Linked DNA regions of Struthio camelus. The protein of the gene in region 1 purifies or fractionates together with the protein of each later gene. This does not show direct contact. Links are inferred from orthologs where the notes say so. Each region holds a gene or a part of one and is shown on either strand. Other genes may lie near its edges.

What was found.
Region 2: the proteins of EIF2AK2 (region 1) and STAU2 purify together in Homo sapiens (affinity purification with mass spectrometry; 3 studies listed by BioGRID and IntAct, with this or other methods). This does not show direct contact. The link is inferred for Struthio camelus from reciprocal best matches to the Homo sapiens genes EIF2AK2 and STAU2.
Region 3: the proteins of EIF2AK2 (region 1) and ADAR purify together in Homo sapiens (affinity purification with mass spectrometry; 3 studies listed by BioGRID and IntAct, with this or other methods). This does not show direct contact. The link is inferred for Struthio camelus from reciprocal best matches to the Homo sapiens genes EIF2AK2 and ADAR.
Region 4: the proteins of EIF2AK2 (region 1) and DHX30 purify together in Homo sapiens (affinity purification with mass spectrometry; 3 studies listed by BioGRID and IntAct, with this or other methods). This does not show direct contact. The link is inferred for Struthio camelus from reciprocal best matches to the Homo sapiens genes EIF2AK2 and DHX30.

The regions. Positions count from the first base shown.
Region 1 is NC_090944.1:102,478,184-102,485,054, reverse strand, and holds the start of EIF2AK2 (interferon-induced, double-stranded RNA-activated protein kinase), read left to right. Parts: upstream 1-3,871; 5' UTR 3,872-4,230; intron 4,231-6,871.
Region 2 is NC_090943.1:129,431,778-129,439,055, forward strand, and holds the start of STAU2 (double-stranded RNA-binding protein Staufen homolog 2), read left to right. Parts: upstream 1-4,266; 5' UTR 4,267-4,405; intron 4,406-4,878; exon of another isoform or gene 4,879-5,014; intron 5,015-7,278. UniProt on the Homo sapiens protein: RNA-binding protein required for the microtubule-dependent transport of neuronal RNA from the cell body to the dendrite.
Region 3 is NC_090971.1:4,355,753-4,363,726, forward strand, and holds the start of ADAR (double-stranded RNA-specific adenosine deaminase), read left to right. Parts: upstream 1-4,968; 5' UTR 4,969-5,077; intron 5,078-5,353; exon of another isoform or gene 5,354-5,503; intron 5,504-6,815; exon of another isoform or gene 6,816-6,818; 5' UTR 6,819-6,915; coding exon 6,916-7,974. UniProt on the Homo sapiens protein: Catalyzes the hydrolytic deamination of adenosine to inosine in double-stranded RNA (dsRNA) referred to as A-to-I RNA editing.
Region 4 is NC_090943.1:1,212,931-1,220,151, reverse strand, and holds the start of DHX30 (ATP-dependent RNA helicase DHX30), read left to right. Parts: upstream 1-4,220; 5' UTR 4,221-4,247; coding exon 4,248-4,440; intron 4,441-7,221.

The DNA.
Region 1 (6,871 bases):
AACTAGATGACTTCTTATGATCTCTTCTGGCCTTGCTATCTCTGGGGAGTACAGGCCCCTGCAGGCCACGGGCACTCCTCCTCCTCCTCCTCCTCCATTTCCGCAGTCAGTGGGATTGCATCTGCACACACTGGCTCTGAATTGGGGCCCAGCCTACCGAATGAGTTGTTACTGTGAAACATTTACCATCATGTCTCAAGACGTGAACTTAAAGGTGCACATTACGGCTATCAGCAGCAGCTTATTTGGTTTGTTGCACCTGTGGTTTTAATCCACGTAGGCTTTTAATGGAAATTCTAGTTTTATGAAATGAAATTACTGATCTTCTGCCTTTGCAGTTTTCTGAACTAAAGCCCTTCTGCTGTTTTAATTTTTGTTACTGTTCTATGTGTAGAATCTCAAAATAACATCTGGGAAATAAAATGCCGATTTTAGTCATTTGTTCCGGGTTTTCTTTCATAGTTTGCAAAAATATCCCTCACACAGGTAAGAAGCTGTTGTTTACTACAGGTAAAATATTTTGTGCCTATTTTTATTTCTTTATGGTAACTGTACATGAGTGGTCTCAACTCTTTGTTTTTCCTGGTTTGTTAATCTGATTACTTTTAAAATTGAAACATTTTCCCCAGTTTGTTCTCTAGTTGCTCCTGGAGTAAAGCTTTTACATTTAGTTCCAGCCCTAGGCCCTCTGTTCTCTGTGACATACCAGCTGCAGCAGCAGCAAGCATAGCTCCAGAGGGCCATATGTTTTCCTTTTTGTTTAAAATATCCACAAGCAGACATTCACTTCCGTAGTTTTGTCTCTTTGGAGGAGCTGAAAGTTGACTGCATTAACCCCCCGAGGGTCTGTAAGCGGTATGGAAGAGCTAGGGCTCAAGCTGAATGAAGCTGTGATGTCTTGTCCGTGTTGCCCACAGTCTCCTTCAGCTCTTCCGCTCGCGCAACTCTTGTTTGATCTCTGCTCCTGTACTTATATTGTACATTCCCTGGGGAAGTGCTTCTCTCTGTATGTGTTTGCAAAAGGTGCGTTTAAGGGGCCTCGATCTACTACTGGGATTTTTGTGCTTCATTACAGTTAAAACTGCTAGTTCTGCATGCTGCTTGATGCCTTCCTAAATGACTGATACTACTTTTTCTTCTTGTGGTGAAGATGAGGGCTATGTTAGCGGATCCTAATCCTTTGGAATTGCCTCCATGCAACAGTAGATACTCCTCTAGGAACTCACAAACTAAATTGTATTTTTAATAGTAATTGGTGCATCATGGAAAAAGTTAAAATGATACAGTCTCATACCTACTTTGTTTAAATGACTGTCTTTCCTTTTGCGGAGTCTCAGAGTGATTTACTTATTTTTATGTAGCAATCTCAATACGCCAACTGCTGGAATGAACTACGAAGCTGTCCAACAGCAGCAAGTAGCTGACAATTCAGGAAGGAAAGTGACAATTCCTATATCCAGTTAAATCAAAATAAAACTAAAATTCCTGCCCCCTTTCCCAAACTGTTATTATAGTATTAAAAGCTAGAATAAATTTAAAAAAAATGATGGAAGAAGTGGTTACCAGAGATAAAGTATATCCATGTCAACCTAAGCATATCTATTTTTCTGGATGTAGATGACTTTCTTCAGGTTATTCGGCCAGTCATTGCTAACTGAACGTCTCCCATGTAAAGTACCTATAGCTGTAGGTAGGTACTGTAGATTCCAGCAACGTCCATAGGTTTTCTGGATATGCTGGAGTGTGGTGGTCCTGTAGTGTTTTATGCCAGTGGGTGCAATAGTCATGAATGCCTTACACCTATTTCGAAACAGAAAATCCTGTGGTAATGCGACAGTTAAAATTCTACTGCAGCATTCATCCGATGCGAACTCAGAAGGAGTACCTCTGACTGAAGGACCAACGTTATTTCTTGCAACTCCTAATTTTTCTTTTGTTCATAAAGTTATGTTCATATTTGCTAGTACTTTTCCTTCTTACAGGCTCTCCCAAGTTCATTAGAGAAGAAACAAATCAAGCTGTCTTGACAGTACAAATGGAAGTAAGCTTTCCTGGCCCCATCTATGTTTGTGTAACTCATGCATGTGTGACACTGGTAAATGAAGCACTAGAACTAAGAACGTGAAACTTTTTTTTTTTTTTGAGGAAATATTTTACTGCATCTCATTAAAATAAACAGTCATTTTAGAAATATATGTAGGGACCATGTCCAGTATGCACTTGAATATGTATATTCTGGGCTCTGTGCCTGGTTGTGCTATTGATCCATGATGTGGCTTTGGGTAAGTTACTTGTCCAAGTTACGCATGCAAACACCCATTTATCCACTCTTCATTTGGCGTGTTTATTGAGATTATAATCTGTTTTGGATTGCTTACCTATATGAGCCAAATAAACAGATGCACAATACTAACTGGGAACTGTTGTAATATAAATATGTACTAAAGACATCAGGCATGAATATGAATGCACTTTTTAATCTACCAGGCATGTATAAACTAAGTTCAGGTTTCTCATTCTTGGATAAAAATATTCAACATGGCTGATGAATTTTCAGTGCCCAGGTGGTAGAAGTATTCATATCCTGTTCAGAATAAAGTGGCAAATCAGCAGAGTGAATTCAACGAGTTACTTGTGTTTTTCCAATATTAGAAGAGGATCGTTTATGAAGGAATGAAAGTCATTTGTAAAGCTGCTGACTGTGGCTCTGATTAAGGATGGATGATTTTCAGCATACTAGACCAGCTTATATAGTGCAGTATGAAGTCATATGTGAAGTTTTAAAGCAGTAAGAAAGCTAAGATGTTCAAAACAAAAAAAAAAACAGTGCTTTTATAGCAACGTTGTTGAAGGACAGCAAGGAATTCATATAAAAGCGCTGTTACATATTGAACTTTGGTTTCGCTACCGCCAGCTTTGGACTCAGCAGAACACATGGGTATTGGCACTTGCAAGCAGCAGAGCGTTCTGGTGAAACCCTAGACAGGATGTATCAGCGGACACTGGAACAAAAGACCAGCTTCGAGGGTGTGCATCCACGATCGCGTGATGTCCTCTTAGTTTTGGAAGTATTTGTCTTACTAAAGAGTAGTTTCACTTGATTTGTCCCTCTGCAACCTACCTGTGAAGTGTTGGTGGCGCTGAAGAACATGGCAGAGCTGCCCCCGGACGTCAGGGAGACCCAGGCTTTGTGCCAGGATCACATTTTTTAAATGTACCCACTTGACATGTGCTTTTTTAAGTTCTGAGACTTTATTCTGCTTGTTACGGTAGCACACCTTTGGCCCCTTTTATGGCCATTCCTGAGTGACCAAAGGTCTAATTCATGCAATGAAAAGGCAGGTGTTTCCAGCTGCCCTGGTAGAAGTTCAGAGCAATAGTTAAGGAAAAAACCCAAACAACTGGGCCTGTATGGTCATTCGAGAAATACTTTTAATTAGTTGTCCAGCAAACAGAATTTCTTTAAAGGGCATTAGTTTGCTCTCTAGGGGGGACCTTTATGAACGCTTAGTCTAACCCATTGCACACCAGAGTTTTTCTCCAGTCACACCAAGCATTTAGATTATACTACTTATTCCCTCACTGTGACTCGTTTCTCCGTCTGGAAAATGGGGGTGAGAGTCCTTCTTCCAGCCACGTGGGCTGGTTTGAAGGGGTACATGTCAGGCTGTGAGGCACAATTCTCCGTAACGGGTGCCACTGCGCTGCTTGAACAGATCATCAAGCGCGTAGGAACCGTCGCCTTCCCAGGCTGGAATTGCAAAAGGGGGAAGGCAGTCGTAAGATTTTTCAGCCAAACGTTAATTGGTTGGGGAACGTACACAGGAGCAAGCAATAAAATAGGTTTCAGGTTTTCAGCCTCTTTTACTCTTTACATGAGCACTTGAAGAGCTGTGAGGGGACACAAAGCCTCGGGAAACTGCACCCTAGCTGCAGTTCTCGGTGTTTTAACTCGCAGAGGCCCCGTGCAGCAGGAGAGCTACCCCGCCGTTGCACCAGCAAGCGCCGCTGTGAGAAGTGGCACCAGCTGGGATGGCTCACGTGGGGCCTGCAGCTGTGGGCCTGGTGGGAACGTCCTAGCTGTCTCTTGAGAAGAATTAGGCTGTGTGTTGGCCTGTTGTTCATCTCCAGGTGAAGGACACTGGTCACCTGGGTGCTGCTCTGCTACAGGAGATCGCTGGAGGAAGGGCTGAGGTTGCTGCTGCCACCGGCATAGAGGCGAAGGATGGGGTGAGTACCACGCGCTGCGGTGTACCTGCCCTCGCGCTGGTGCCACCGCATGAGAAGGGGAGTGTTTGCAACCCACATAGCGCTGTGGGCATTACAGCGGCTGGTGTTTCGTAAATCCGTGGGTCTGTTCTTGGCATCTGCCGAGATTCACTTGAAAGAGAAAATCCGGAAGCTCTTTGTAGGAAAAGTAGCCAAAGGTAGGAAGGGTTTGTGGCCAGTGCTGTCAAGGGGGTGCGTTAAGGCTGAAGAGCGCTCCAGACCCACCACGTCACCCTTCGGGGTTGCAGTGCCCGTCGCAGTTAGGAAGGACCCACTGTATCCCTCCGCTTCTGCGCAGGGCTCGTGTGTGTGCCAGTTGACAGTGAAATGAAAGATGTTTATTTTTCTTCTGTCCTTGCTTCAAAAAGTGCATTTCAAATTGTTCACATCCTCAAAATTATATGGAGAAATACGAGGTAGAAGACACCTGATGCTTCAAAAGTGTTGGCTACCAACTGTCTTCTTGTGGGAAGAGCTCATTACTTTTAATCAAGTGTTTGCAGATGCTAAAATCACACTAAAACGCTGGTGGGAAAACAGCTTTTTTTTTTTTTTTTTTGTGGCATATGTTTTAACTGCCAGCGCCTTACTCAGTTTGCCCAGGAGGAAACGATGTTCCCAGCGCAGCTAACATGCTGCCTGAGGGAGCTGTCGGAAGCGGTGTGGCTGCCCGGGGTGGTGGCAGCAGCTGCTGCGAGTGCGCACGGCCCCAGCGCTGGCAGGGCTCTGCAAGAGCTGCTGGGCTGGTTCCCAGCAGCTGAGAGTCTCTTTCACTAATTTGCAGTCTTGAACGCAAGCAAAGGGGTGCTGTGTTTTTGTTACGCTGTTAAAGGTTTGTTTAAAAGTAACCGTAAATTTAGACCAGAGAAGGAACTTCAGTGAAGGAGCTCTTCTTACATGAGTGAGCAGCAGAACAGGAGCAAATGGTTAACGTTTCTGAAATGGTATCAGATAAAAGCAGACAGTCTGACTGGGTTCATCTGCCCGGCAATGTCCTGATTTGTGTGTGTTATGCTGGATTTACTTTAGTACAAATGACGCGTATTTGGGACTTGGTTCTCTCTCATTTTGAATGCCAAGCTGCATTTGCATGTAAAAGGGAATGGTGATTACAGTTCCTGTGTTTGCCTGTGTATATACCTATGTGTGTCTCTATATATGCAAGTATATATACACATGCACAACTTAACAGAGGAATTGAAACAGATACAATTAGCTATATTTTGTAGCTGCAGTAAGCAGCTTGGTTTTTTTGGCGAACCTTTTGAAATTCCCGTCCATAAGACACGTAGTGAAAATATAAGAAAGTAAGAGCGGAGGAGAAAGGCTATAAAATCACGTGAAGGCAGAAGCTAATGTCTGGTAAGAGCAGAGTTTAAACTGCTTCATGAAAGGGAACTGACAACACAGCTCAGCTCTGAACTGGACCTATTTCATGGGCCCAGTTGGTACTGCCTTTGAGAGGAAGGAAAAGGAAAATATGTGTAGAATACGAGCTGTTGCTGGATACCTTGTCAGCTGGAGAGGAAATGCTAGTTATAATAGCCCTGCTCGATAGTGCAGACGCTCAGCTTGGTACAGGGCAGTCAGTTTCCACTGGAATTCCTTGATGTATTTGACTTGGGGTAGGGAGATGATAGGAGGAAAAAAAAGGTTTTTAAAAAATGTAAATTAATATATTAGCATTCTTTGACTTGGCTTCTTGACCTGTGAGCCTGTGAACTCTGAAGGGTTTACTGAGTCAGTAAACTGATAGACTGAGCTGGTTCCCTGACCATAGGACATATAGCTGTAATCCGTATCCCTGGGGCATCATGTCTGCCTCTGGTGAGTCTGTGTTTGGGAGTGGGGGGATAGGAGGTTGAGCTTTTGTTTGTGGGTTTTTTGGTTTTTTGAGGGGTTTTTTTTTTTGGTAAGTCAGAATTGTGATTTGGAGGCAGAGATGCTCAAGGAGGTTTACCTAATAACCATTTGTGGAATGCTTGACTTCCTTTAGTTTCTTGAACTCGGTACGCATTCACCAATCAGTAAATTCAAAGTGAATGCAAAAGATGTAGTGCAGAAAGGCTGGTCCAAAACTAATCAATGGACTTGAAGCTATCTTCCAGGATTTTCTTTTCCAGTAATCAGCTGTTGGAACAAGAGAGTGTCCCTATGTGGAGGAAGAGGAATAGAAAATTTCAGGCAAGACTGAAACAACCCATTGGGCATTAGGTACAAGGAGATTAAAGTGCCAACATGTTTTCTTAATTGCTGTCCAATTCATTCTCTTATCTCAGTTCCAGTGTAGGAAACTAGAAAGGATGTTTTCAGTGACAAAGGAAAACGGCGCTAGATTATCCCTGGTTTCTGCACTTCCGAGGTGAAAGCTTGCCTGGGACAGGGACTGGCTTCCTTCCCCTTCTCCCATTAGTGAGTGTCTTTGCAGAGAGTGCAGCCTTTGCAGAGATGGCCGTGAAGCCATCACTCTGCCTTCCCCCTCCTCATCCTGCTCCCTAAGCATGCAAGCGAGTGGAGCTCAGTTAAAAGACTGCGGGGGAGACCTGAGACTGGAGCAGGTGTGGGTTTCCTCTGTGTTTGGTGATACTCCCTTTGGGACGTG
Region 2 (7,278 bases), on another chromosome or scaffold:
AAGCCCTAGAACTCAGAATGGCTGTAAAATCTCCATCTTTGGAGATGCTCAGAACTCAACTGGACAAAAGGCCCTGAGCAACCTGTTGACTTCAAAATCAGATCCAACTTTGAGGTGGGTCCTGGTTTGAGGGGGGGCAGAGAAGGTGGTGGACCAGGTGACTTCCCGAGGTCCCTTCCAACCAATTTTTCTATTTCTAATATACTAATTAAAAACAGGTTCCTGTGTTGGTGGTACTGCCATTCTTCTCCTCTTTCTTGTTAAATACATCACGGAGTACACTTTCTCAGCTTGTTGCACCAGTGTATACTGAGGGGTGGGAACTCATTCCATGATGGCGTTTTAAAAGCCATTTTCAATTCTAATTTGTCAGTAAAAAAATTAAAATATTTTGATTTTTGGAAGACAGTTTGAAAGTACCAAATTTTTTTTCCTACATCTGAGGTTAAAAATGACAAGGCCAAGTGTTTTCAAGTATCCTGCACTCATATATATATACACGTATAGAATGAATGGAGTACTTGTCTCTTACATCCCATTTTAGGCTTTCTGTTAGCGTATTTTTCATGCTTTCTCTCATTAATAGGGGTGATTAATCCAGTATGCTGTTTGACAACAAATCACCTACTAAAACTCTGTATCCATTGCACAGTAATGAAGTGGAGCAGATGCTTATACACAAAATAAGCATTTTTTTTCTTCCCAAGGCATTCTTTGTTTATATTAAGCTGTCCTGAATGGATGTACTGACTAGCCTTTATCCCGTATCTCAACGGTAAGAGGGGGGGGAAAAAAAAAAAAAACTTTCATGAAGGTACAGTAAATCTAAAGAATGGCTAGTAACTTGACTCAGTTGTTCATCTATGTAAAGCTCCAAACATGTAGCAGAAATTTATTAAACAGCAAAACACAATCACAGATTTTATAATGGTCATAAAATATTTGATCCTCTGTTTTATCACTGAATAATACTAGATGGAGAACTCACTAGTTATATGGTAAGTTTATGGATAAAATTCATTCTTGATTATTCATAGGCTTTTTTTGTATTTCTAGTTTTCTTTCAGCTATATATACCATTTGTGACACAGGATATGTAACCAAGATTTCAGTTTGCTGAGCTGATAAAACATTTCAAGTAATCCTAGAGGTATAGATAGATATATTTTTAAACTAAGCAGCTGTGCAGTAGGCAGTACTATTAATTATAAAAATGCTAAATGCTCAATTTAAGAGCACAGACTTCAGGTTTTAGGGACTTGTTGGAACGTTATCCAACTATTGTAGAAAGGTGGGAAAATTTTCCTTATAATCTGATGCTGACATTCCCTGAATGCATTTGTACTCCAGGTACGTCGTTATTCAGTATAGGCTATAACATAAGGTTGCGCATCAAGTTACTAACCAGCCCATTAGTAAAAATTTTTATAGACAAAGTGATGATTCAGCAATAAGAAGAAACTTTACTTACATTAAAAACTTGTAGGAGGCTTATGAAAAGTATTTGCAGTATTAGCTATTACTAGATGACATCAGAAGAATACATAGGAAATTGTATTATCGATTATGTACTTCTGAGCTCAGTTTTTAGATGAAATGAAATAAGGGGGTAAGGAATCGCAGATGCAGAAAACTAAACAAAGGAGGAATAAGAAGGGAAGGATGTCAGGTTACCACAATTGAAAAAATAGGTGTATATATACAGCCATGTCTTAACTGCTATGTCCCAAAGTGTATTCAAACAAGTTATAAATCTCATGTTAGTGTTCTGTTACTACGAACAAAACATTGATATCACTTAGCTCTCCATAACAAAAACCTGTTACTAGGTGAAATTACATGTCGTTGACATATTGTTTATTTCCTATAATATACCAAATTATTACCAAAAAAACATCTGGGGTGATGTGCTATTAGATTCCAAGTGACTATACCATTAGCATGTGGAAAGCCTGACAGGCTACTTTTTTTTTTCTTACTCTCAGCTGTCATAGCAATTCACTACTTGTTTTCAAGTCATGATTTTAAAACATTCTCATGGAGTAGCATAAACAGATTTTGAAGGATATATGACTCCTGAATTCATTCTGATCTTGAATAAATATCTGTGTTGTTCTGACATTATCCTTGCGACATCTAATGTTCTAACTCTCGTAGCTATCATTAAAATATAGTTGTGTAGTAAAATAACGTAGACAGCTTTCCCCAAAACTACTGGTTTTGTTTTGAAACATAAAGGGTTTAATTTGTGCAGAAATTACTGGTCAGTTTTATTTGATCCCCGATTTAAATGAAGTTTTTGGTTTTTTTCTCTCTCAGAAATCCTTTAGCCTTTAATCTCTCAATTCTGTATACAGCCAAATCTGACATTACTAAAGTGCTTTCCATTTTATTTCTTCTGTCTAGATCTGCCTTCTGCAGGTGACATATGCAAAGACCTGCAAGATGGTGACAGAGTAAATGTGTTGTTACTGTAAAATCACAGCAATGTTGGTCAGAAGGGAACTCTGGAGGTCATCTAGTCCAGCTTCCCACCTGAAACAAAGCGATGCAAAAGCCATGGCTAACTTGATCTGCTTTATCTAGCTGAGTCTTGACAGCCTATGGATGAGGACTCCACAGCCTCCCTGGGTGGCCTGTCATGCTGCTCTGCCACCCACCGAGTGAAGAGGTCTTCCTCAACATTCAGCCTATGCCTTCAGAGCTGTACCGTGCAGACAGTGCTCCTGGTTATCCCCTCCCTTAGTGTGCCTGTAGGGGAACGCCCAGCAGCTCAATCAGTTAGCATCTTCTTCACCTTAGGTAGCTGGTAGAAACATGATGTGACCTAAGAAATTATCTAATTCTGCACAGAAGAAAATGTTCACATCTCAGCAATCACTTGTCTCAATAGCTTCGTCTCAATTTTTATTGAAGAATGCAGTAACCTCCTTTACTGTAGTTTTTACTGGAGTCTTTCAAAAAGATAGTAACATTAAACTTTCTACTCTACCTTAAGTCCAGCGCTTGTAAATCTCTTTCAAACCCCCTAAAATAGAAATGCTGTTCATATAAATTGTTTAAATGTTTCCATGGTGTTTTGACTAAATACAAAGCCCAGGTGCATTATCCAGTAAAACTTACTAAAACTAGTGAAATGTGTAGTATATTATAAAAATGAATTACTTTTTCGAGCTTAATATCAGATATAGTCCACTTTAAGCTTACTGTTGTTAGATTTGCCAGAGCCCATTTCTCGGACTTTTTAGGCCCTCAATCACTATCCAGGATGAGTAGCATCTTGACTAAAGAGCTACCGAAGGTGTTAACTGTGCTAAGGTCCTGTTTTTAATACAGCTTAAAAAAGAAAAAGCACCTCTGATAATGATTTCTTAGACCGAAAAAACATTATTTTTCATCTGTTTTCTTGTCCCATGTCTATAAAGCAGTTCTCAATTCTTCCTAAAATACTCATTGAAAAAATTATTGTGAAAAGAGCAGTAAAGGAAATGAAAAGCCCAATTCTTCTGGGAGAGTTTGGTTATGAAACTTAGTTCTTGCTTGTGAATATAATACATAAGTTCCAGTTTCTGCACCCGTAAGATATTACAAGCTCAATGCAGTCCCACCTGCCCACTAGATTCTTCTGACCTTTGCCTTCCTGTATGTCATTTGTTTGAATGATGTGGCCAGGTAGCAAGTGCCCCAATCGGTAGACTATTTGGGGGGGGGAAAAAAATGTATATGCTACTGATGGGAACAAGTTGTGGTTAACTTTTTGCCTTTCTCTCTGAACTGTGGTCTTTGAGAGCAAAGGTGGCAAGTAAAACTTTTGAGTGTTACGTGTTCTGAGGTAGATTGAGACAGAGTAAAACCAATGGGAGAACAGACAAATCCTATTCCGTTTACTCACTTTTACTACGTTACTGCAAGCCGATAATATATTTTCCCTTACGTTAAGTCATGTTGTTTTGCTCCTTGTTCTTCATCTGTCTCTAGGAAACATCTGTTTCATAAAATCGCCAGTAGGGGTCAGGTCTCTGCCAACAGAAAACAGAGGCAAAATCTTGCAAGGCAACGTATAAAAGGAAATAAGAAGCTCGCAACTCATCTTGCGCGGGGCGAGTGAGATGATTGCCAGCGGGGCTCTAGCCAAACCTGCTTTATTTCGGGGCTCTTCGATGTAGTGAAGTTCACGGACCTGCGAGGCGGAGAGCGGGGGCCGGGAGCCGCGCAGCCTTCGCGCAGCGCATGGTTTCGCCCTGGCACCACTTTGCAGGCTGCGCGCTCCCCGTTTCTTCGCTAGTTTCCGCGAAGCGGTTTGATGCCAGCGGCTGACGCCAACCCGCCTTGGGATCATCGGCCTGCGCGGCGGCGGGCCGGGCCGGGCCGGGCCAGGCCGGGCCGGCGGCTCCTGCCGGCCGCGGTGAGTATCGGGGGCGCCCCGGGGCGCGGCCGCCGCCCGCCCGGCGGGGGCAGGAGCAGGAGCAGGGCTGGGGGGCGGCCCGGCCCGGCCCGGCCGCTGCCGGCCCTGGGGCAGGCCCGGGGTGGGGGGGGGAGCCCAGCCTGCGCGGGGGGCAGCGGGCCGGCCGCGCCGAGCGGAGCGGGGCAGCGCGGCGCGGCGCCCCGGCCCGCCGCCGCCGCCGCCTCGCGGGGCGCGGAGAGGAGCGGAGCCCGGCGGCGCCGAGGCGAAGCCGCAGCCACCGCTAGGGGCGCTGCGCGCGGGCTGGCAGGCCGGGGAAGGGATGCGGACGGGGCCATTCGCGCTGTGGGAGCGGGGGGGGAGCGCAGGCCCGGGCGCGGCGCGGGCGGCCCTGCGTAGGGGCCGGGAGCCGGCGGCGGCGGCGGCGGGCGAGGCCGGCGGAGGGCGAGGGGCGGCGGGTGGCGCGGCGGCGGGGCGGCGCGGTGGGGCGGCGGCGGGAGCGCGGCGGGGGGGGAGGCGGAGTGGTTGGGGCCGGCGGCGGCGGCGGCGGGGTCAGTTCTCTTTAGTGTTTGCCGATGTTGGAGGCGTCTCCAAAGTGTCCCCGGGAACCAGGTAACGGAGCCCGCGGCGGCGGCCCGGCGCCCCGCGGAGGCGGTGAGGGGAGGGCGCGGGACGGCGGGAGCCGAAGCGCCGGCGCCGGAGGGGGCTGCTTCGGCCATGATGTCCGAGTCGCCGTCCCGTTTCCCCCTCCTCCTCCTTCCTCCCTCCCTCGCTCGCTCCCTCCCTCCCCTCGCCTGCCGCCGGCGCGGCGGCCCCGCGGGGCGCTGGGGCCCGGGGCTGTTGGCGGCGCGGCGCGGCGCTGGCTGCCGGCCCCGCCCGCCCCTCGGCGCCCTCTCCCCCAGGCCGGGAAGGCGCCTTTGCGCCACAGCGCTGCCCACCCGCCCGGGTGTCGCTAGCTCCTGGCGGGGATGGAGGAGGAGGAGGGGGCGGCGGAGGAGGCACCGGCTCCGCCATGCGTCGCGGGGTCCCCGCCGCGGGGAGGGGGCGGGCGGTGGCCGCGGGGGGGGCCGCAGGTGAGCGGCCGTTGCGGCGGGTGGGCGGGAGAGGCGGCCCCGCCGCGGGGACCCCCCCCCGCCCCCCGTTCCTCCCTCCCCTCCACCTCCCCCGGGCCGCTGGCGCGGGGGCTGCGGCCGGCGGCCCTCCGCGCCGGGCCTGCTTCGCGCCTGAGAAGTAGTCGGCTGCGACCTGAACTCGGCTGCCTCTGCTCGGCCTGCCGCCCTCCCCTTGCCAGGGCGCTCTTGGAGCACCCCCCCACACACCGGGTTTTGGCACCCCGGTTTCGAAGAGCGCGGGTGGCAGTTGGCTGCCAGCAGGCGTCTGGTGATGGGTTTCAAAAATCCTCACCTTCAGTCAACGGCACGGACTCCTGTAGTTCGGTGGTTGCGTTTTTCTACCTTTTCTTGCTTGCCGTCGCTTTATTCGTCTTGCGCTTTGCCCAAACTTTGTCCAGGATGGTAAAGTTTGCCAGCAGGACGACACTCTCGTGCTCCCAAAATGGATGTCAACGTTTCTGCCGTGAAGCAGTTAACCGGCGTTCAGGGTGCATGGTGCTTTCAGGGTTGCTTCTGAGACGGGGTGAAACCCAGAGATAACGCGTTCTTTACTAAACGAGCTGGTTAGAGTTACGCGGACATTGGTTCGTGTTTTCCTGGTGTCCAGGTCCTCTGATTAAAGGGGGGGGGGAAATAAAAAAAGTGCACCTTGGTTGTAGGCAGGCCTAGAACTCACAGCCCAGCTCTCCCGGAGCAGCTTGGGTGCTCGCTGCGGACTGGGAGCAGGGGAAGCAGCAAAGCTGTTCGTCTGAAAGGTCGCGGGGTACTACCGTAAAAGTCAGTGATACCCAAGCAAAAAATTACCCTGAAGCGCATCTGCCTAATGTTGCCCTGTGGCCAACAAACGTGCGGCTACCAAGGCCCCGTTTGGAGCGTTCTTTTTGCAACTATTATAGTACTAAAAAATAAAAGTTTGTGTTATGCAAAAGAGTAGGAGGCACGTTACTATTGTAGCTCTTCTTTTGTGTTAAGCACTGTGTTGAACAGTACCTGAAAAAGGTGCATAAATAACCCAACATTGCAGGGTACAAGTAAGCTTGCCTTTGGTGTAAGTAGGTTTAGTTACGTTGTGCTTGTGTAAGTGGACGTACGTTGCTATGTCTTACTTACATTACTAATGTCATCAAGCTGTGCAAGAATAAAGTCGTCTTGAGCTGTGTAGTAACTCCAGGTTAGGAATCTACACCAGTGTAATAGCATTACTGTGTTTAAACCATTTTCTAAATATAGGCAAGACTTTTTTTTTTTCTGTACAGGTTTTGTTGTGACATTACTGCCTATAAACAGTGCTAGGCTGACAGCTTTCTGAATGAAATCTTTTTTCGAAGGAGCCAGCAGCAGAGTAAGATTTCCAGTACTGGTTCCCAGTCACTGAACATTGTTAGCTTTGCCCTGGAAGATCTGCTGCAGAGAGAGATTTCTGTTTGTCTGTGTGTTTGCTACGTTTCCTATCGCTGTCTACTGGGAACTGGATTAAGACTGCCTATTTGTTCCTAGCTCGCTTCTGAGGGGAGGGAGCAATTCAGAATTTTTTTCTTTTAAAGCGAACTTTTCAGTGACATTGCTCAGTTTGGTTTGCAGTTCAGGTTCAATTCAGTTTTGGGTTTGGAGGCCAAAGTCTTTATACGTCTTTTTGTCAGCCTAAGTTACCTAGCCTCCCAACAGTAATGTCAGAATAATAATGAATTAGAATAATCTTTTATCCTGCATTGTGTAAGTGGTTTGTAAAAGAATTTAGTAATTTTGTGTTCAGCAAAACTTAAT
Region 3 (7,974 bases), on another chromosome or scaffold:
CAAAGACGCCAGGCCTGTATTGATGGCGTTCACGTCCCTTTGTGGCTGTCCGAATGAAAGAGCTAGATCGACTTGGCGCAGCCGGTTGGCCTGGCACTCGCGCGGCGAGAAGGGCTGCTCCGCAGGGGTAAGCTGTAAAACACAGCGGTAAATTACAGCTTCCCACCTAAACGGGCATTTCTGAATTTCCTGCTGGGCAACAAGCACCATGCTGAAGCAATGGCAACCATCGCGAACCGGCCAGCGGCGGGGGCTTTGCTGCAAAACCTCCGAGCAAGCTATCGCCTCTTCTGCGATAATATTTAGACGAAGGAGGAGGCCCAGGCCGAGGAGCTGAGTCTGCTTCCTGGAACTGCTGCCGAGAAGCCGCTCGGTGACAATGCAGCACTCACGCCCACTCTGCGCCGAGGGGAGCGATTACACAGATCAGAAACACCAAAGAATCAAAACCATAAAATGGCTTCTTCTTGTTGTTGTTTTTTTTTGTTTGTTTTTTTCTTTTCAGAAGTGCTCAAGGTCTGGCCAGGTGTTTGCAGGGGTTGAGTTTCAGCGTGCTTTACAAAGCCACCACCTAGCCCAGGGGAGCGAAAGCGGCACCAGCCGAGTGCAGAGCAGCCCTTGCCAACGCATAGCCTGTTTTTAAAACCATGCAAGTGCTTGAACATCCTTTTGAAAGTCAAGAGGAAAAAGAGAAACAGGGAAAGTAACTTCACTGAAAATGAGACTCGGGGCTTTTCATGAGCATCACCCCTTCCACTAATGCACCAAAGAGGAAGCTATTGCTTGCAGTGTTAAATATCTTCTTTTGTACGTCGGTGTCTGTGCTTAAAGCTGTCTGTAGGGGACAGCCAGGTCCCTGCCCCACTGCCGACCCTGCAGCACCCGCACGCCGTGGGGCAGCGATTGCAGCATGGGAACGAAGGACCCGGCCGGCATCGCCGCAGCGGCATCCAGGAGACGTAAAGCTGCTTCCCCGGGAAACTGCAAGCAACCCCAAACGCATGGGGGCATTTGGGAAAGTTGTGAGCAGCCAGGACACAACCCAGCAGCTGCTTTTCCCTTTGGTCAGAACGTGGGAAATACAAAGTTAAACTCTTTTCCATTACAACTGCATTTTGGGTGCTACCTCGTGAGCAGTTTCCAGATGAGGTCAGGCCTAGGCACGGAGGCAGGACCCTCCGCAGGGACCCCCCGCACGGCCGCATCGCAGCCCTCCGGGGCGGCTCCGGGCACGTGCGACGCCGGCCTGGGGCTGACGGGGCCGGCCGGTGGCTCCTTCCGCTCTCGCTGCGTGGAGCAAGGCTGCAGAAGCTGAACATGAGCCCCGCTTCCAGGCGCCCAAGAGGCACTGCCAGCCCTGCCCTGCTCCCTGCTGCTCCTCTCCCTCGGCGGCTGCGCCAAGCAAAGCCGCCGCAGGGCCGGGGAGGACGCTGCCCGCTCCAAAGCTTGCACTGAATGTTTTGGAGAGCAACAGGTTTTGTACTAATTAAAGAGGAATCAATTAGGCTGCGAGATATTCAGCCACCTGGTGCCTCTGACTATTTTTTCCTCCTCCTTCTCTTTTTCCTTAGTGTGCTGCTGCTGCCTCTAGGGAAGTCATGAAAGAAACAAGATACGTTCCAGTTTCTTGCTTTCTTTAAGATTAAAAAATGCTGTTTGTGAGGAAATCTGTGCCGACCAACCAATTAAAGCACTGTATATGTCCCTGAGATTTGCAAACAGCTCTCTCCTCTGCCATCCATCATCCCCTCCAGCCGCCCTCCTGCCTCTCCCTCTACGCATGTCACTGATCCACAGCTCTTGGCTCCGTCTGTTGGTTTGCACGGTGTGAAAAAATATTCTACAGTGAATAAAGACTAAGCAGCGAAGAAGGTGTAATGGGATCCCGTGGGAGGCACAAAGCAGTCCTACATGCGAGGAAGCCCTTCGGAGACCCGGCTGCGCCAGTCTTTCCCTCGCTAGACGACCCGTGATGCAGTCTGTGCTCCAGAGCTGCGGGGGGAAAAGGGAAAAAAGGGGGGAGTGGGGGGGTGGAGAGCAGCGGGTTGTCTCTCCCGCCGCCTCTCCAAGCAGCTCCTGAAGCTTGTGGCGTGCTGACCTTGGAGAAGGTGGTGGGGCAGCAGGGAGGCTGAGCTCTGAGGCAAACGACGCAAGTGAGGTGGATAAAGACGAGGCGCCGGCATCGCGCCCTCCGCGGTGAGGGGCGGCAGGGCAGCAGGCAGGGGAGCGCTGCCCGCAGCCCCCGACCTCCCCGGGCAGCCGCACGGCAGGCGCTGCTTTCCCCGCTCCGGAGGGATGCTGAAATCCTTCGCGTTTATCAGAGCGCCCGATACAGCCCTTCTCCCAGACAAACCAGATTTCATCTTAAATATGAAAGGGAGCGGCCGAGGGCAAAGGGGGAACTTGCGCTGGGTGGTGAAGACTGAGCGAGGGATGCGGAGCAGAGCGGGCGGACGCCGGGGGGATGCTCGCTGGACTCCGGGATTCGGGAGGGTTCATTAACCGATTCGCTCTCTGGGAGCTGCTGCATCAGGCGCACTAATTCAGAGCGGGCTGACAACAAGCTGCTCCTCCCCTCTGATCCCCCTCCCAGAACAAGCGCAGCTAGAGACGCCGGGCGCTCGGCCCAGGAGCCCCGTCCGACACCCGGCAGGCGCATGCACTTCGCCCAGCCACTGCCCAGCAGACGACAGCTTTATAAGGAAGAGCCTGGCGGGGCTGGAGCGGCTGGCGAGCCAAGCCGCGGAGAAATGCCAAAGCCTGCGACGCGCACGGCTGCAAAGGAGCAAAGGCCAAGTGGTGCTTTGCTGAGGCGGCTCCGTCCCGAGCCCGGCTCCGAGCTGGAGCAGCCCCAGCAACGCCGGCACCGGGCCTGGCCGGAGCGCTGCAGGGCAGGTCTTGCCTCGCAGCCGCTGCCATGCCTATAAAAACCTGACGGACGGGACCACGAGCGTCCGAGAGCGAAGGGTGCGGGCGGCTGCGCGCTGCGCTCGCGTGGCATCGCCTGCACAGCGCTTCGGCCGCCCCTCTTCGAAGCGGCGCGCTGCCTTTTGCCATGGCGCTCCCCACCGCCGCAGCTGCCGTGGGAGTCGGATCCGGCTCCTTCTCCCGGCACAGCTGTGCTGCCGCCCGCACCTGCCTTTCCGCGCTGCGCTGCGAAGCCACCCAGCACGGAGCACGTTTGCTCCCGCGTGGGAACGTCGCCGGGTCCTTGGAGCAGGAGCCCGCCGACGCGCGGGGGGCCGAGCAGCGCAGGGACAGCGGCGCTGCGGGAGGAGGCAGGGAGTTCCCCCGTCTCCCCTCCTCTCCGCACCTTGAGCTCTCATGAGTAATTGCTGCTGACGTTTCCCTAGAGAACAGACGTGGCAGCTGCTTTGGCGTTATCAAAGCTCAGGTTCAGTCCGCCGCTGAGCAGCGAGGCACCTCCAAAGGCAAAGCTTATGCAATGCCCTGGATAGCGCTGCTGCTTTCCCCGCCTGGGAGCCAGCCCTCGGGGACAGGAGCAGGCTCCGGGCGGCAAAGCTGCCTTCGCAGGAACCAGCACCTTCCCCCGGTGCCCGGACTCGAGCCCTGGTGAGGATGCACTGGGAGCAGCGCCCCAGCCTCGGGACGAGGCAGCGTTTTCTGTATTTGAGGAAAATACGGAAAAAATATTTCCATGCCCAAGCTACCCTGAACACGGCCGGACAGGCTCGCTCATGCGTGCTCGGGCCGGTGGCATGCATCGGCTCATCCGCGCAGAGCTCGGTGTGTGCCCCGCGATGGTATAACAAGCATGCACTAATAATAGTTCTTCAGGCTGATTAATTGCCCCAAGCTCATGTTTAAAAATGTGTCGCCATAAACACGCTCCTGGATGGGCCCATCGAGTTACCGTCGCAGTGTTTATAGCTATAATAAAAATACTTGGGGAAAGAAAAATTTAAAGGCAAACGGAAGGCACAGGAGTGCTGGAGGTTTTCCGCGCTGGTTCGCAGCTTTGCACCTGCAGCCAGACGGGCCCAACGGAGGGGCAACGCTGCCCGTTTTGGAGGACGCAGGAACCCGGTCAGCGACTTCGGCCCAGTTCCTCGCTCTACATAACAGAAGCCTGGAGGGCTTCACGGGCACTTTTGCAAAAAGGCCAAAAACTACTTGTACCTCCTGTCTCAGCAGCGCCGAAGCAGAGCTAACAACGCGCACCGCTCCCAGGGCTGCGCGCCGCTGAGAAAAAAAAAAAAAAAAAAAGGCAGGCGGCTGATTTAGGAGAGTGACCAAACGTCCCCCTTGCAAGCAAGCGGGCGGCTGGGCTCTGCCTTGTAGGGGGAGGCTGGCTCGGGAGCGAGGAAGCGGCGTTTCAGCGCGCCTGCTGCACAGCGGCGCAGAGCCAGGGCTGGGCTGGCGCCGGCGGCCGGGGGCTGCGGGTTGTTTCGTCCCGTTTCGCTTGCCGGGGGGGGGGGGGGGGAGCGGGGCAAAGCAAGCGGGCACCGGCCGGTGCCTGAGCGGATGCCGCCACCGCGCGGGGAGCGGGCGGCTCCGAAAGGGGCTTCGCTCGGCTCGGCGGGGCCGGTACCGGGTGGGGGGGGGGGCAGGAGCGAGGCCCCCCGACGGCTCTGCCCTCCCCGACGGGCTGCCGGCGATGCTGCAGGCGAAGGGGTAAACGGATCCCTGTTTCCTACCCCCGCACATCCGTTATCCTCCCCCCGCCCCGGCCCGGTGCGAACGGACCCAGCCGCGGCCCGGCGGCGGGCGGCTCCCCGGGGCCGTCGGGGCTGCCGGCGAGAGGAGGCGGCGGGGCCGCCGGGACGCGGCGGCCGGCGCTTTGCGCGGTCCCGCAGCACGTTGCTACGGAAACGAGTTCGGCCTCTGCCCGGTTTCCCACGAACCCGGCGAACCGGCAGCGGGACCCGATCGGTCGCCGCGGGGGGCGGCGGCGGCGGCGGCGGGAGAGGGCGCATGCGCGGCCCAAGGGCGGGCAGCTGCCCTTCCCAAAGATGGCCGCCGCGCGCTGCCCAGGAGGGGGCGCGGCGCGCAGGCGCGGGCGCGTCATCAGCCTGCGCCGAGTACGGGACAGCAGCGGTGGCGGCGGCCGTAGGGGGTAAGGGGCGGCCCCGGTGCGGGGGGAGGGGGGAGCCCGGTGGGGGCGGCGGCGCCCGGCCGGGGCCGCTCCAGGGTGCCGAGGCCCGGCCGGAGCAGCCGAGGCGGCTCCAGGGTGCCGAGGAGCGGGCGGGGCGGCCGCACCGGGCCGGGTCGGACCGGGCCGGGTGGGGAGGCCGCGTTGCCGCCGCGGGCCCGGCGGGGTGGGCGGGCGGGCGGTACCGGGGCGGGCGGCTGCTCGGCGACGAGCTTACCGGGGCTGCCCGCCTGGAGGCGGAGCCTCGGCCGCGGGCCCCGGCCGGAACCGAAACCGAAACCGCGCTCGCGGCGGTGCCCGGCTGCCTGCTGCCCCGCCGAGGGCCGCTCTGCAGGGCCTGGGCTTCCCCCCCCTCCCCGTTTTCTAACAAAATAAATGGACCGAAGGGAGGTAAGAGCGGTCGTGAAAACCCCCGTTCGCTGCCCCTGCGGTTTTCGGTGTCCTGGGTGGCCCGGGGGGTTGCTTTTAAGCTTAGCTCCGTGGGGAGGGCCTGGGTGCTGCTTCCTAATTTCCTCACTTCCTGCGCCCGTGGCAGCTCCGCCGCTTGGATGAGTAAAAGCAGTGGGGGTGGTGAGACTGGAGCCTGGCCTTGAGCTTTGTTTGGTTCTGCGCGCAGAGTAGCCTTTACAGGCATTTGGGCTGCTCCAGTGTTCGGTCGTTTTCAGGAGGTAACTAGTTGGCTTGCAGCCTGCCTTGTTTCTCTCCTCGTTTTGGCCGTTTGACTGTTGGTTCTCTTACCTTCCACCTATCGATCGCACTTAGCATCTGGCTGCGAAGCTCCTCTTACATTATCACGGTAATCTCTTTATGAAGATAGGTGACTTAAACAGGTCACCTGGAAAAAGGTAGGATAGGATGCCTAGAAGAAGGTATCAGATGCATGTTTGTGTCCGCTGAGTTTCATATTCAATTGTTGCTGAAGGGCTAGAACATATCCTGTGTGTGTTTTTTTTTTTTTTTAAAGCACATTAAGCTTATACCCCATCCCCTGTAGTTCTGGGGGATGGCACGCCTGTCAGCGATGTGAGAAAATTTGGTTTATGCTCCTGAAAGACTTTTCATGCCGTTACCAATTGGAAACCTATCCAATTTCTCTGTATGTTATCACTTTACTTGTCCCATTGTGTGAGACTTCATAGGTCACACGCTGTCCAGGAAGGAAAGGACATTTGGGGTTTCAGACTTTCAGTCGTGAGTCTGACATCGTTTCTGAGCCTGTTGCAGCCCTGTTCCCTTCCGTGTGCCTGCACGCTGCTTCATGTCCTTGTGCCTCTCTTTCTCTATATGCAAAGTGTATCTGTGATTCTTGCTTCTCTGAGGGCTGAGACATAAAACTCCCTCGTACTTTGGAAGCGCATTGTGACTCTTAGACAGAAGGCATCATGAAAAGACAAATAAAATCATCTCTGTGCAGTTGGCTTGAAATTCAGCCCAACAAGAATGAAGGGTTAGCGTCTCTTATTAAAGCTGTTTCTTGTAGTTAAGTTCACCTGTGATTCCTGATGGCTTGCGTTTATGCTGGGCAGACACATAGTTTGCCGTTTGTGTTCGTATGAACAAATTAGACTTGCTAGAAGGAAGGAAAATATTGAAGAGGTGAAGGTGGTTGAAATGCCTTGGTAGCAAGGGAGCTGGCTAAATTGCATTTCTAGACTCCTGTAATCACGTGTACAGGTTCTGAATTCCTGCTTTTTCTTTCTAGCAGGCCTCTCTTCAGGAGTTGAGAGTGAAGAGTGAATCACGGCCACCCTTCTTCTGGTGTGCAAGCAGCCCGATTCATCCTTGCATTCCAGCAGTGCGCTATGAACAGAGGCATCGGTCGAGGCAAGGGCTCGTATTCTACCCATTCAAGACGTAACTGGTCCAGCGCTAATCAAGGTTTTTCTAACCCGCCTCTTGCCCCACAAGGAAATAAACGGGACATCTTTCTAAACCAGCAGAGGCAATTCCTAACAGGCCAGGTCACTGAAGCTCCTGTCTACTTACTTCAGGGACAGAGGTTGCTCTGTGAACCACACGCCGGAGGCTTGCAAGCTGTGGCACTGGTTTCTACAGAGAGATGGCAAGTCAGCTGCAACGAAACAAGATGGCCTAGAGCCTCCAAAAAGAGCCAGTGTGTAGGAACTTTACCACGTTACTGCCCTCCTCAGTACCGCTGTCAGAACTCAGAAGGAGATTCTGACACCATCAGGCTGAATTTCCAGAGACTATCTCTTGCTGGGCAAAGTCGTGAAGAAGAAATTCTGACTATTTTCAGGCAGCTTGGGAAGGGGAAGACTTGTACAGTTTATGATCTTGTACGTAAACTTAAAACTCAAAAGAAAGAAGTCAATCGTGTTTTGTATAAACTGCTCAGAGAAGGCAAGCTGCACAAAGGTGAAGAAACGCCGCCGCTGTGGAGGATTGCCTACCCAGTTGCAGGGAGAGAAAGAAGCCCTGCTGACCACAGGGTTTGTCATACAGCTCCAACTTTTGAGATCAAAGGAGAAGAAAGCAGAGCAGGTGGCTCAGGAGACATTGATCCCATAATGGCTGAGACTAAGGATAAAATCTGCAACTATTTGTTCAGTGTAGCAGACACAACAGCACTCAACCTTGCCAAAAACATTGGGTTTTCGAGGGCCAAGGATGTTAATGCCTTTCTTGGTGCTCTGGAAAAGCTGGGAGATGTCCACAAACAGAACACAAGCCCCCCACGATGGTCTCTTACAGAGAGGAAGCGCGAACGGATGCAGATGAGGTTGAAGGCCAATGCAGTAACGAAAACAGCAGATCCCACGCCAGAGTCAGATTTTCCACCTTCCTCTATTCCTCCCGAACCACAGGAGATGACGGTAGCTTCACCAGCAGGAACAACATCA
Region 4 (7,221 bases), on another chromosome or scaffold:
GGATTCAAATGAAACTTGGCAGGATATGAACACCCAAGCTGAAGTGTGATTGAGAGCTATCAGCTTTATCTGGTGCTAAAGACAGTTAGTTTCAGAAATACTAAATGCTTTAAACATCTCAAAGGAAATACTAATTCTAACTTCCTGTTTCTTTTTGCTACCTCTTGCTTTCCTAGGAATCAAAGCTTTTCGCTGTAATGGAGATGTTCTCGTTGGATTCCCTTAAAGGTAAGGACCTGAGAGAATCTTCAAATCAACTACTATTTTTTCTTTGTCCAGAGATTTAATGCTGTAGCAGCTTGATGCAGAAAACTGATTTGTGAGAAATAGCACTGTCTGTTTCTGTGCTGCATAAATGAGAGGTTTGTCCTACGACTGTCTTCATTTGTCAGACTTCCCTCTCAATGTATTAGAGACAAAAAGGAAGTGGATATAAATATGACTATACCTGCACTGGTGATAGCTATGTAACGTACAGTGCCAACTTCTATGTTTGTGAGACGTTTCTTATCTCCAAGGGGAACCCTGCATTCAAAATTTGCCCTTTAGGTATAAAGCTGTAGTTGTTACAATCGGTGTAATTCAATTCTGTCTTGGTTAGCCTCCCAGGTGAAAAAGTGTTACATGAAAGTATTGTTACATTGAGTACAAGAGAGAATTTCAGGGAAACAACCAAGTGCAGAAAGGGGAAAAGACTCGTCCTATCATCCAGTCTAACTTAACGACAAGGTAGATTTGCTCCCTATTGTTTAGCTTTAAGTAGTCTTCTGTAAGTTTTTCTTCTTTTCCTCCTTTTAATTTCATCCTCCCACACATAGCTATATCCTTTTGTACCACTTCAGTAAGTGCTTTCCCCTTAGTGTTTGCATACTTCAAATATTTGTCAACTGTTATCATGTCCTCTTTTCCTGTCATTGCTTTGCCAACATCTTTATTTAGAACTTCTTAGATTTTTTTAGTAAGTCCCTCCAGTCACTGGCCATTGGTATTTTGTTTTGTTTTTGTTTTTTGACATCCTTTTCTGAACTCTGTAACTTGGCCTTAAAATAAGGTGCCTCGAACTGAATGAAATATTCCAGATATGGCTGAGTCAGTGAGGGATCGCTACCTCCCTTCTTGGCAAAGTAACGCTTGTACTTCAGCGCTTGGGGAGCACAACAGTGCACCAGCCATTCTTGTAATGCTGCCATGCTAATAAAGCGAGTCACCAGGACTTGTGGGGACCGCATTTTAAAAAATGCAAAAAAAGCCGTCGTGCTTTGTATGTCCAGGGTGTCAATCATGTGTAGAGCAATCTTAGTTGGAAGCAAAAAGCCTCTGACCTGCCAATTAAAACGTGACCTGGATGGGAGCCTGGGAGAGTGCAGGCACTTTTCCTGTGAGGGCTAGTGGTTTGTCACAGCCAGACTGGGTTCGGGACTTTGGGTGCTGTACCACGTCTGCTTTGGGAGGAGAGGAAGTCTTTAAGCTACCGTAGCTTGTTAATAGGCTTCTGTGTAGCGCTGCTGCCTTTGCAAAGGCTTGGGTAAAAATGAGTGAACCACTGCTCACCGAAGTAAGCCTGAACTGGCAAAGCCTGGGAAAGTGGCCTTAAGCTATTATTTATATGCTGTTTAAGTCTCATCACTGCAAAATAAATATATTTGGATTAAAATTATGCCACCTGTGACTTCTGGAATTTTTTAATAAGTTGAGTCTTAACTATTTTTTTCTTTGATCATAAGATAATTTTTGTATGATTTATGGTGACAAACTGCTAGCCCTACTCATGTCTAACTTTGCATGCATCACCACGCTGACTTTCAGCATCTTCTCCCAGATTCCTCCTTCCCGTTGACTGTGTGTTTCCAAGAGTTTTCCAGAGATGTGTGCTCTATTTATCTCCTTTTGTTTGTTTTGCTTCTAATCGTTGTGCTCTACAGCCATGTTTTTCATCATCTTCAAGTTCTTGTTATCACTTCTGTTTCTTCACTGATGTTCACAACTTGAAACAGCTTAGTAGCTGTGAGTTGCACTGATGGACAGCTTTCTTACCTCCTCTCGGTCTTGAGAAAATGCTAAATAAACAAGTTACTGTATTGAGTTAAGTAGTTTCACAGTAGATTCATCTTTCCAGAAGTGCATATTGACATTTACCTAGTATCTCCAGCCACGCTTTCATTTTAGCCCTCTTTGAAGCTTTTGTTTACGAACCAATAGGGTTTTTTTTTTTTGAAAGTAAGAGTGCATGCAACATACAATCAAAGATTTACATACAATTGATTTCCTTAAATTGGCGACTTGTCTAGCAAGATTGTTTTTCTTTTTAGTGTAGTGGTGCTCTTAATATTTGTAATCAAAGCCTTTGTCAATTAAGTAGCAGAATAATTTTCACGTCTTTCTCAGAGACATGTCTACATTTGTCTTGTGGTTTTTCTGGTGCTGCTTGAAGATCTGTTTTTGAGTTAAAAAAAACTGTACGGAGACAAATCACTAGCTTATTCACAGAGGTTCTAACAAGCGTGTATAGTGAAAAAGCAAATGATATTTGTGCAGTAAGATTTTTTTCACGTGTTTGTGCATGTGTTTGCTTCCAAAGATTTTTTGCCTATGTAGGGTTTTGTTTGCTAACTTTTCACTTCTCAAAGCTCTTCTTGTGGAATAGAGGCTTCACAGAACTTACCTAATTATGCCAGTTAATCTTTTTGTGGTTTATTGGAGACTTCTCTTTCTGATATTTAAAAAAAAATCTTACTCTTTCATCATGATGTTTAAGCAACCGTTCATGTAAAATTTTGGCTTACACACAAGCTATTCACTGAATAATAGGTTATTTAACATAACAATCACGTCCTCACAGCTTAATGCTAGTCTGAGGCGTGCGTTGTTAGTATATTTTAATTGCTTAAAAATAGTTGATTTTTTTTTTAATAACATTTCCCTGTAGTGTTTGAAATTCACTCCAGCACTGAGAACTTTGCTCGAGACATCTAGTCATTCACATAGAAGGAAAGAACAGGAGTCTATTTTAAGTAAGGGGGAAATGTGTAAAAAGGCAAAACAGTGTCTAGCAGTGTAAATTATTTTAAAATTATTGGTGTTTATCTCAAATACGCTGCGAATGGACTTTATGGTTTGTTACAGATACGCTTGAATGCAAAATGTAGTCCGTGTGCGTCTAGGGGGTTGAATGTGTAGTTGAGAACGAATAAGAAACCCTTCACGACTTTCAGGTTCCAGGTGGTTTCTGAATTTCCCGTTGCTTTTGCAGTTGCTTACATTAAAACACCGAAAGGTTGCTTTGCCTGTAAACGTGCAAGACATTTATGTGCGCAGGAGTGAAGCTGAGGGTATCCAAGCGCTATGAAAAGCATAGTAAAAATTGCATCTGCATTTTTCCCTCTGATTAGCGAAGGTTAGTAACGATGGTACAAACAAAATCCGTATCTGGAGGAATGGCCCGTGGCTTCTGTTTGCGGTTTCAGCACCAGGTTGCCCTGATTTCTGAGCCAGCGACTCACGGTCGCGGTAAAGTTTGAGCGCGTACGAAGACCTCCCCTTTCACAGGCCTCCACGAGTCCTGCAAGATACCCATCCTTTGAGACCGTCTAGATGTGCGTTGCCTGAACTATCTGGTGTTTGGGCAAAGGCTTGCGTTTGCTGTACTGCTTCCCTTTGCAACGCGCCCGCCGGAGAGGGAGGAAAACCGCCTTCCTCGGGGTGGGACGGCGGGATGAGGCGAGCGCGGCCGCCGGGAGGAAGAGGAAGAAAAGGCCCTTCTGCCGGGGTAGCCGTGGTGCTCCGCCAGCCTGGCCGGAGAGGCGGCAGAGGAGCCTCCTCGGAGGTCCGGGGCCCCCAGAAAGCGATTTCTCCCCCCCCCTCTTCATCCTCCTCTTCCCTCTCCTTCCTCCTCCATCTCTTCCTCCTCCTCCTCCTTCTCGGTGCTGTCTCACAGCCCCCCCCCGGGTGCGGGATGGGGGTTTGGGCCGTGCCGCCCCGGTGCCCGCCTCCGGCCGTGCCCAAACTCCCCCAAAATTACCGTGACGCCCCCCCCTCCCCCCCGCCTCCCTGCCTTCCCCCCGGTGGGGACGGGGGGGGGGGGGGCCCCGCCGCGCCGGTCCTCCGCGCCGGTCCTCCGCGCCTGCCGCGCGCTGGGGGGCGCTGTGGCGCGCGGCGGCGTGGGCGGCTCCTTCTTGCCGGCGCCCCGCCCGGCCGCGTCGTTGTCGTCGGCGCCCCTGCCCGAAGCCGGCGCCGGGCAGTGCCGCAAGATGGCGGCGCTGGGGCTGCTGCTGCAGGCGGCCGCGGCCTGCGGCTCGTCGGCGCCGCTGCGCCTCTGCCGCCGCTACCGGGCGGCGCCGGAGGCGCGCGGCCTCTGCACCCGGTTGCCGGAGTGCGCCGACGAGGCGCGGCCGGAGGAGCCGGGCGCCGAAGAGGAGGAGGAGGAGGGCGCCATGGTGAAGGGTGAGCCGGGGGAGGGGGGAAGCGGCGGCGGCGGCGGCGGCGGCGGGGCCGGTGCTGCGCTCGGCGGGCCGCGCACGCAGCGGAAGGGAGGAGCGAGCCCCGCTGCCGGCGGCTGGGAGGAGGCGGCGTGTGCGCGCCGCACGGCCCTTCCCCGCCCCCCCCTCCCCTCCCCTCCGCGCCTGGCAGCCGCCGCCACCGGCCTCTTCGCGCTGCGGCCGGGCCGGGCCGGGCAGCGCCGCCGCCGCCGCCTCGAGCGGGCGCCGGGATGCGCGGCAAGGGAGAGGAGCCGGCCGGCTCCGCCGCCGCAGGTAAAAGGGCCGCCGCGGGCCTGTGCGGCGGCGGCGCTTTGTTGCCGGGAGCGCGGGGTCCCCCCGGTAACGGGCGCTCGGGGGCCCTCGGCCTCAAGGTCGCGGCCGTGCGGCCGGAGCCCTCGCCGCGCGTGGCCGGGAGCGACAGCGGAGACCCCGCCCCAAAGGCTGCGCGGTGGAGCGAGGCCGGCGGAGCCCGGTTCCGCCCGCTCCGGGAGCGGGACGGGGGCAGCTCGTCGCCTGGCTTGATCGCCTTCTGCGGGCGGGGGGGGATCGGGGCTGGCCTTTGAGCAGGTAGCCCGGCTGCCCCGGTCGAGCGCAAACGTGGAAAGCTTTTGTTAACGTAGCTTCTCCTACTCGTGCGTCTGGTGGAGGATGGTCTCGCGGGGCATGAGCCCTTCAGCTGCGCGGGGAGAGGCGCGGAGTCTAGGCATCGGAAGGGGGAACGCGTTCCTGCTGTCCAAAAGGAGCCGTTGCGACTTTTTTAAAAGGAAGCAGCTGAAAACGTGCTTTGGTTTTGCCTTCTGATGCTTGCCTTCGCCTCGCCTCTGAGGCGTGAAGAGCGCACCTGGTTTAGAAGGCTATGCCTGGTTTTGCGCTGGTGCTTCCTGGTTCTGGGCTATGACTTACGCTACTACTTTTTTCCATTCTAAAATAGCTGGTTCTCGTGTAAGGTTGTTTTTTTTTTTTAATTTTCTCTCTATAGTTTCTGAATTCTTTGGGATTTGAGTTCCGTTTGCTTTCCAGAAGCCTTGCTGTCCTTTGCCTGTAGTTCAGAGTCACGTAGTCTTTGACTATTGTATTCATCACGTGCAGATGCAAATTCGCTTACTTTTAAGGTAAATGCTGATGCACACCAAATTACTGTTTAAAGAGCCGGTTCAGGTGGTGGCTAAGAAAGATAGTGAACTGATTTGTTTTCCTTTTTATACGTTGTTTCTCAGATAGCACTTTCTCTAACAGGCGTTTTCAGAGGGTGCTTGAGTACCTTATCTCCGGGCCTCAATTAACTTTTCTGCAGTACCTGTTTTCATTGGTGGATCTGGTCCAGCGGCTCACAGCGCGGTCTGGTGTTGCGGCTCTGCCGCGGTGGGTCGATGCGTTCTGTGACATCACCCGGAGCCCCGGCAGCCGCGTGAGGAACATGTGGGAGAGGCTGCTGGGATTGGCCTCGTCCCTCTGATTTCTGTACAGAGGATTGGCCATGCAAGGCTCTTCTGGTGAGAGTTCAGCAGTAGCGAAAGGTTCGTTTCAGGTTAGCGAGTAGAGCGTCCTCAGCGTCTCGTTGGAAGTCTGTTCTACCCGTCACTTGAACCTGTAGAGATCGTAAAAGTTACTTTAAGAACCTGTATACAAGGGCAAGTCCTGAGCCTTCAAGTTGTAAGCTGATGTCCTGTTAGCTAGCCTGTTTTGATCAGTTTTGTTACTGGCCTTGGATACCATTACAGATATGGAAAAATCAACTCTCATCTGAGGTTAGCCTAAAAAATTGCAGTGCTATATAGGTATTTACATCCAAGGCTTCCTGTCCATTGGGCTTGGTGGTAGGATTTTGGAGCAGAATCTATGATGAAGATAAGCTTCTCTGCCTCCTCTGTCACGTCTGTGGCACTTCTCACTTTGAGACTTGCATGAGCTTGACCTCTGTTTTGCTCTAAGGAATCTTTGTCCATGGGTGGTTAAATTTGCCCACCTGTAGAGTCACGGAAGAGTTTAGGTTGGAATGGACCTCTGGACAACATCTGGTCTAAGCCCCGGCTCAGAGCGGGGCCGGTCTGGATCGGGTTGATAGAGGCTATGTCCAGTCAAGCGTTGAATATCTGCAGGGACAAAGATCTGACATTAGTCATTCTGGTTCTCTGATGTGGTAATCTCGCTTGCTTTTGAAGAAGCCTTGTCAGTTTTACTGATTTTTTTTAAGTTCTTGTTTAGGCAAGAGCTGTGTGCTTTTTTACTAATATGCATACTTTGAAGGAGCCTTTATCAGAGTCCCTTGATGACATTTAAAAAAGGAAAAAAGTAATATTGTTTTGGTGTACTCCAAAATGAACTGCCAGGTGGACTGATTCTCTCTCTCTCTCTCTCTCTCTCTCTCTCTCTCTCTCTCTCTCTCTCTCTCTCTCCCCCTGCTTCCCTCCTCAGTAAAACGTGCCTAGGCTAACTCCTTATGAAATGTGCATTATGGAGCCACAAGGCTTTCCTTCTTGTGAATTTTTGAGGCATTAAGAGTATTCTTCTGAGATTGATTTATTACAGTGGGGACCTACATCTTGATGAGTTTTACGTTTAATAGCTTGTTGTGGTTGCTCGTTTGTTGCATCTCCAGGGAAGAGGATTTGAGGGAAGATAGGAGCTGCTGAGATCGATCTAATGCTCCTCTTTCTTCCTTATACAAAACTATAGGTCATTTTATTTGTTCTCTTTTTGGACCTGAGGATGTTTTTACTTGTCAGATTTTTGGGGGTTAATAGAA